Linked DNA regions of Astyanax mexicanus. The protein of the gene in region 2 purifies or fractionates together with the protein of the main gene of each other region. This does not show direct contact. Links are inferred from orthologs where the notes say so. Each region holds a gene or a part of one and is shown on either strand. Other genes may lie near its edges. The genes, in order: larp1 and nfx1.

Region 1 (3,929 bases), on a different chromosome or scaffold from region 2:
TTTTATATTATATTTAGTTGTTATCAAACATGCTTTACACTCATTACACTCTTCAACTTGTTTATTTTTCACAATGTATAGTATTTTAAAGTTAAATACACTTTATCTTCACACAGATGCTTCAAAAAACTGGATTCAGACTCATGAATCGAATCAAGGTTTGATTTTCTTTTTTACAATTTTCATATTTGTTGTAAACAAATATTCTTTATCATCACACAGACAATTCCAGTTAAAATCACTCGCTTCAGAAGCATTTATTTACAATATTATTTTTTTTATATTATAATTGAAAGAAATCAAATGCTTTATGCTTGTGAATTGACTCACATTTCTTTTTACAAAGTTGAATCTTTTTAAAATATAATTAGATGTAATCAAATATGCTTCCTCATATTTATCTTTACACAAGATTTATCTTTACACAAATGCTTCAAAACATGTATTTGCTTTAACACATTATTTTACAGTTTTTAACATTTGACAATTTTACAGTGAGGATATTTTATATAATTATTAGATGTAATCAAATGTGAATCAACTTACGCTTTATAAACTTTTTATGTTAATAATTTTATATTATAATCAGATGTAATCAAATATGCTTTATCATCACACAAACATCTACTTCAAAACACTAGGCTCTGACTCATGAATCGACTCAGGCTTTTCTTTGCACAATGTTGAATCTTTTTAACGTATAATAAGATGCAATAAAATATACTTTATCCTCACATAAATGCTTCAAAACATTTTTTTTTTTTACAATTTAACAGTTTACATTTGTTTAAATTTTGCAATCAGGTCATTTTTAATATTATAATCAGATGTAATAAAATATGCCTTACCATCACACAAATCCTAAAAAACACTCAAATATTTTTTTTATAATATAATTAGATGTAATCATGCTTCACAAGCGCAAACTTCCAATTTAAAGCATTACATACAACTGTTTAATATATTATAATTAGATCTAATCAAATACGTTTTATCATCACACAGATGCCTCACAAAACTTGATTCAGACTCGTGAATCGATTCACGCTTTTCTTTCTACAATGCTGAATCATTTTTTAAATTATAATTACATGTAATCAAATCTGCTTCATCATCGCTCAGACACGGCCGCTTACAATTCACAACATTCGACTCCGACTCGCGAGTCGGCTCAAGCCTTCCACAGAAAGGGGCGCAGTTCAAACGAACCGATTCGTTAGCGACTCGAACACAGGCAGCGTGCGCGCTCCCGTGAGTGGCGTGGTGGAGTTTCACCCAGCCTGGCGGAGATCATCAGCACGAATCTAGCTGTTTTTTTTTTTGAGAGCTTCATGATTGGTGTTCGATCCGGTTTTACATGTGTTGATCCGAACTCGCCACTCTGCGTCTTAGACTGAATCCTTTTGGTCTAGGGGTGGAGTGGAGGACCGAGCCGAGCCGAGTCGAGCTTCTGTTTTTTTCCGGAGGGGGTCGGAGAGCTCGGGAACACGTTTTTGGGCTGAGAGGGGGAGAGGAAAGCAGGGGAGAAGAAGGAAGGAGAAGACGGAGTCATGGCCGCTCAGGTGGAGACCCTCCTGCCGAGCAACCCTCTGCTGAAGAAGGGGGACGAGGAGCGTGAAGGCCCGCAGACGGAGCTCCAGCAGGCCGAGGGAGCGTGCGGGAGAGCCGGCCTAGAGCAGAGCCTCAAGCAGGCGAAGGAGGAGAGCAACCTGCAGGAGAAGGAGAAGAACATGACCATGGGCCAGCAGGACAGGGTGGTGGTGGTGTCTGGGTCTGAGAAGGGCGAGGAGGGAGAGCAGGGTGGAGAAGAAAGCGGCAAGAGGAGTAACTTTAATAAAAAGGAGTTTACTGAAGCACCTCCACCCAAGGTGAACCCCTGGACTAAGAAGATGAACGCCGTGACCGTGGTCAGCGTGAACGGACAAACACAACACAACGGTTGGTAGCTAACTAGCAAACTACCTAATCTAGCTAATTCTATCCTGTAGCTGACTCCATTCGTGTTTATTAACCTTTAATTTTTGCTATGTGTTCCCTAAAACCCCTCGAAACCACGTTAAACCTACTGGGTGTTGCAGAATCTGACTAAAACCTGGCTTAAACCCAGCCAAACCCTGACTTAAAGCATTTTTGGCTCGTACAGATCCAGAAAGTGAAAATCCACTCCAGTATTTTGTACCAACTGCCTGCCTGGCGCTTGTCGCAGCGAGAGCTAGCCCAGCAGTTGGTACGAAATCTTGGAGTGGATTTTACTTCCCCGGACACGGATTCTCCACCTCTAACCCATGTGTTTCATGTGCTTCTGAGATTCCAGCGTTTGGCCATTTCAGAGTTTATAAAATGACGATGAAACGTAAAAAATGCAACAACACCCTATGTGTTTCGCCTTTTTAAAATGAATTTCGCCTAATCCATTTATACCCGTCTTTAAAAACAGCAAATGCAGGCGTTAATCTGTTTAGACTGGTAGCTGGCTAAATGACATGTGGTTGTTAGCATAAAAGCTAGCTAGCCGAGCCCTGCCAATGATCGAGTCGCTTGAGCTAGCTTTAAATACCCCAGTTCTGCTGATTTCAGGGCAGATTGTAAAGGTATTCATCGGTCTGATTACAGGGGGTGACAGGGGATTTTTGATGGCATTAAAGCTGATTACCTGAGCGATAGGAGTGGGATAGGTGGAGTTTAGCATGCCAGCAGTAACGAAAACGGGCTGAAAGTATTGGCTTTAGCTTTTAGGCTAACCCCACTAGCTTGCTTTAGCTAGCCTGCTAGAAGCAGCTATGAACTATTGGCATTAGCTAACCTAACTAGCTTCCTAGCTAACAGAAATACATAGACATGCATCTTCATAAATGGTGATCATTATTTGCAAATGTATTGCATTATAAAATATGTTATAAACAGAACATATATTTTAGATAGTTTGTTACTTAACGTTACTTGAAAAATAGTCTGTAGGCCTCTCTCTCTCTCTCTCTCTCTCTCTCTCTCTCTCTCTCTCTCTCTCTCTCTCTCTTTTACACGCGCACACACATACAACTATAGCTGGTCTTGATATTGCCCTTACATTTTAAGTTAATACTGTAATAACAAAATGAGAATTGAGTTGCATGGTTATTCCATTATATCACCATTCCATCAGTGGAATAAAATACAGTGCTTTAAAGTAACAGGAACATTATTAGTTACAATAATTTGTCTGGAGCAATATATGTATATGACTAGGCTATCCTGTCAAGCCAAGTAGCATCATCAAGCTATTATATTATCCTTTTGGCAGTGACCTAAAATGCAGAATCTTAGACATCTTTTCAAACAATAATCGTCACAATATATCACCCTATGAAAAAATCATTACCGTTACATGCACTATACACAATGAAATATTAAATCAGATATGTAGAGTACGTAGCATATTCATAAGTTTGATCTTGTGTAATAAACAAGCCATTTTTGTATATTTATAATCTATAAATGTAAATATATTTAGTGTACATTTTAAATATATTTTGCACCATATGGGTAACTTAACAACTTATTGGCCTTTTATTATAACGTAATTGGCAAATAATAAAAACTATGTCTTTAAAGTGTAGGTTAACATTGGCTTTAGCTTGGTGGCATATAAAAATCGTACTGGCTATCATTATTAACTATTAACTTTTGTATACTGGCTTGTAATATTATTACAATGTTATTGGCAAATAATAAAACCCTTGGTTCTATAGTATAAGCTATCATTGATTTTGGCTTGGTGGCTAATAAAAATATTTTTTTTGTCTATAACAGTGTTGAACCATGAGCTTTCGCTAGCATTCTGGCTTATTATTGGTATTATTGTTGTTTTAATTATAAACTATTGGTTTGTAGTGCCTAGAACTGTAAAAGCATTGCCTGTGTAGTATGTGCTGGCTATTGTTATAAACTAT
Region 2 (3,929 bases):
TGTTTGCTGCTGAGCTTGTGAGCTAACCCAGCTCTGTGACTGCTCCTGAGGTTAGCTGCTGTAGAGAGCAGTATTATCTTGTTATTGTGGTTAAATCCTTTTTCTTTTCACTGTAAGGCGCATTAGTCCTACATATAAACTGCAGAAACTGTAAAAAGCCTCCAGACTGACTGAGCTTTGCCTGTAGCCCGTGGCTGGGCTGTAGCTCTGTTACTAGTGTGAAGAGAGAGCGGGGCTTGTTCTGCTGCTGCAGCTCTGGCTAGTGGTTGGATGAAGAACTGCAGCTTCCTGTGAGCGAACAGTTTCTCCGGCCATCCATACACAGCTCTGCTTTACTGTTTAACCCATAGACTGTATATAGCTGGACAGAGGGTCGTCTCTCAAAAGTGAAGCCACCACAGGTCGGGCGCCCCCTGCTGTTCGGCTGCAGAAAGCCGTGTAACTCCACCCATTCCCATAGGTTTCAATGGCAAAACAGACAACTTTCAATCACGTTTTTTTCTAATATACTGTAATTCTACCTCCTTTATTTAAATGCAACAGCTAGTGTAACCTCTGCTTATATTGTCAAATTTTTATATCCCCACAGAATTCGGTGTTTAAAACGTTATTCAGCTCTATTAAAAAAAGGTGTGGTTATTGTAAAAGGGCTGCTTATGGGCGGGACCAATAACAGACCGTCAGCCCTCAGGGGCGGGTTAATCAAATGAGTAGGCTGCTCTCCACAGTCTTTCTCCCTCCTCTGGACTCTACTGCGCAGAATCAGGTGGCAGGATCGCCAACATGGCGGAAGATTTTGGCTTCATTTTAATTGAATGAATGGGAACGGAGATACGGCGTCCATCTTTTTTTACAGTCTCTGGTTTAACCCTAAACTTCTGAATCGGATCGGCTAAAATCAGAGGAATATCAGCCGATAGCCGACACCGTATTTTGGCTGAAAATCGGCCGATACCGATACACTGCCGATCGATCGTTCCATCTCTAGTTTGTATGGCAGTTTTGAAATGAAATTTATAGTCGACAAATTTAAATAATTGACATTGTTGATTATATCGACTAATCGTTGCAGCCCTAATTAAAACCTCAATAAAAGACTTGGAGTCAATTCCCTGACTTCTATTCAATTTACTAATCCAGTACTCAGAGATGAATCTAAGTTAGATTAGCTACATAAAAAGCCACCTTAGGTAATTAGCTAGCTTCTATATAGTTAGCTAGTTTAGACAAATTTTGGCTCAACCAAGTGTCACATTAGTGTCAGTGAATGAAAGCAGATTCATCTGATACTTCCTCTGTAATTGTATGGTCAAAATAACATTTACATAACATATGTGGTTCTGGCAACGTGTGTAGAACTGATATTATTACAAGTAAAGAGCCTATAACCCCAAGCTAAGCTAGCTTTATCTCTTAATTAAGAGTTTTTACTAGCTAGTAAGAACTGAGTCAGGACCTGAAGTGCTGGTGTGCCATAACTGCTTCCCATAGTTAACTATCTAACCGAGCTGGTTATAGCTTGTTAATGTTAGTTAGCGTTAGTTAACTAAACAAGCACAACATGAAAAGATACATTAGGTAACTAGCTAGGTAAGTTATCTAGCTAATAGCTATACAGTTTAGATAGGTTAACTAGGATAACGTTAGTTTAGTAGACTGATTTAGGCTTAACCAAGTGTAACATTAGAGTCAGTAAATGACAGCATATTCACCTGACATTCCCCTGTAACTTCTATTTAATCTACTTACCCAGTACTCAAGAGACAAATCTTGCTTTGCTAATTTAACTAACGCATTAACTTACGTTACCTTAAATATTAACTTAACCAAGCTTAGCTAACCTAACTAGCTAGCTAGTTACTCGGGACCAGCAAACAAGTTTGTTGGCTAAGCCAGTGTTCTGTCGAGTTGTGCTACCTTGTCAAACAGTACTACCCTAGTAGAATTTAATTTTTAAAAAGGTAAAAATACCAAAAAAGCACCATATTAGAAAACCTATAAGAAAATACTCCCAGCAGAAGCCAAGGTATGATATGTGGACAGACTAAATCATTGAATTAGGGAAAGTTCAAAAGTTAAAGCCATATACGTGAGCATAAACCGTATTAGTTTTATTGATTTTTTTTACTTTCCATTGCTATTTTAACTGCTATTTGCAGTTTTTTTTACATTCAATCAGGTTGTTTAATGATACTTATAAAAACTTAAGGAATTATCATGAAAACATTCCAAAAAAAATAGTTTGGCGCATGCGCACTGGTGTTGTGAAGCACATATCGATAGATAGCATAACTCGACAGAACACCTGTCTGGCTAAAGCTAGCGTTAGCTAACGGTTTAGCACAACAGACAGACTTACACTCAGCTATCTAACGTTATATGTTTATCATACACAACCTTCCTCCTGCCTTCCACTGTATGTCTCTATACGTTTATAAAAAACACATTAATTCATAATTTTAACACGGTTCTAACCCCTCAGCCAGTGACTGTTAGCCCCTGTATTCTACATTAGCCAGCTAAGCTATGTTAGCTATAAGGCTCCTGCGTTACTGCTGCCGGTCACGCTGAGAGCGCTAGGCTAGTCCCGGACAGACAGTCAGTCCTGTGGAGAAAGTTCCAGGTTTATTCACGGTCAGATATTTACCTGTAACCGAGGCTTCAGCCATCCGGCTCCACCCGGAGGAGAGTCTCCCCCGCTGTGTTTCAGAGATCACCGCTCTGTGTGGAGCTGGAGAATGGGGAATAACTGGAGGTAGATATTGATAAGCTAAGTGTGGAGCAGGTTAAACACAGACCTGCTAACAGCGCTGATCCGCTACACAGAGAGAGAGGGAAGTGAGAGAACCAGGGGGCGCTGACTCACACAGTCTGCTGAAGAGCCGGACTGGATCAGCTAACTACACAGCTCAGGTATTTAATAAGATTCATCTTATTTCTGCGTTCTGTATCTGTAACACTCACTCATTATCATCAGGCTGCAAACTAGATCCTTTTTTACTGTATTATAAGATCTCAGTGTAGTTCTGATGCTTTTTAAACTAGAATATTGGGATGCACTGAGTTACTGAGTTTAACTGATAGTTTTAATGGAGAAAATAAACACTTTTTTTTTTCTATTTTCCACACTCAGCAGCTTGAAAAGAGGAAACATGCCATCAGCTGTTTGTGTTTGTGTATGCCTGACCACGAGTGTGTGAGACAGTAAGCACAAAATGTAGCATAAATAAAAGATAATCTAACAGAATGTCAATTTATATATATTATATATATATCAACACTCCAACATTTTTCACATGTTGATAAAATATAATGTGCTTTTAATTAAATAATAATGTACTTTTTGTATATTCACAGTCTGAACTGTGGTTGAGCTTGTTGCTGACTGTTCACACAGACTGGTAAGAACTGATACCATTGTTAGCTAACCAGTCTAACCAAACGTTCTCCCTAAACAAAGAGACTCCACTTTCTTTCTCTTTTTATGCTTCCTTTTCTTTTTTGTATGTGTATTCGTGATGGGGCCCCAGGTGGCACAAGGTTTAAAAATTATGATAACCAGTATATTACCATAGTTTAATGTGTAGTTCCTGCAAACTTGACCAGGCCTTCTTATCCTACATTACAAAAAAAATATGCTTCTTGATGAATGGTAAAAAAAAAAAATCCCATATACACATACCTAAACCATGTAAATAGCCCTTCTAGAAGAGTTGATGCTGTTATAGCTGCAAAATGTGGGACTGCTGCACTCAAATGTTGCAATGAATTAAAATTCCCATCTCTACTGCTCTAGTGGTGGTGCTAAATTTGCAAGCTTTGGTTAGCGTACTTTATTAAAGCTCAGTGATTACCGTATTTTTCGCACTATAAGGCTCACCATATTATAAGGCGCACTATCAATAAACGTCTACAATGTCTAAAACTTC

Evidence for each region.
Region 1: the proteins of nfx1 (region 2) and larp1 purify together in Homo sapiens (affinity purification with mass spectrometry, with the first as the bait; 3 studies listed by BioGRID). This does not show direct contact. The link is inferred for Astyanax mexicanus from reciprocal best matches to the Homo sapiens genes NFX1 and LARP1.

Annotation. Positions count from the first base shown.
Region 1 is NC_064424.1:34,122,461-34,126,389, forward strand, and holds the start of larp1 (la-related protein 1), read left to right. Parts: upstream 1-1,237; 5' UTR 1,238-1,550; coding exon 1,551-1,938; intron 1,939-3,929. UniProt on the Homo sapiens protein: RNA-binding protein that regulates the translation of specific target mRNA species downstream of the mTORC1 complex, in function of growth signals and nutrient availability.
Region 2 is NC_064415.1:33,627,543-33,631,471, reverse strand, and holds the start of nfx1 (transcriptional repressor NF-X1), read right to left. Parts: upstream 2,872-3,929; 5' UTR 2,670-2,871; coding exon 2,648-2,669; intron 1-2,647. UniProt on the Homo sapiens protein: Binds to the X-box motif of MHC class II genes and represses their expression. May play an important role in regulating the duration of an inflammatory response by limiting the period in which MHC class II molecules are induced by interferon-gamma.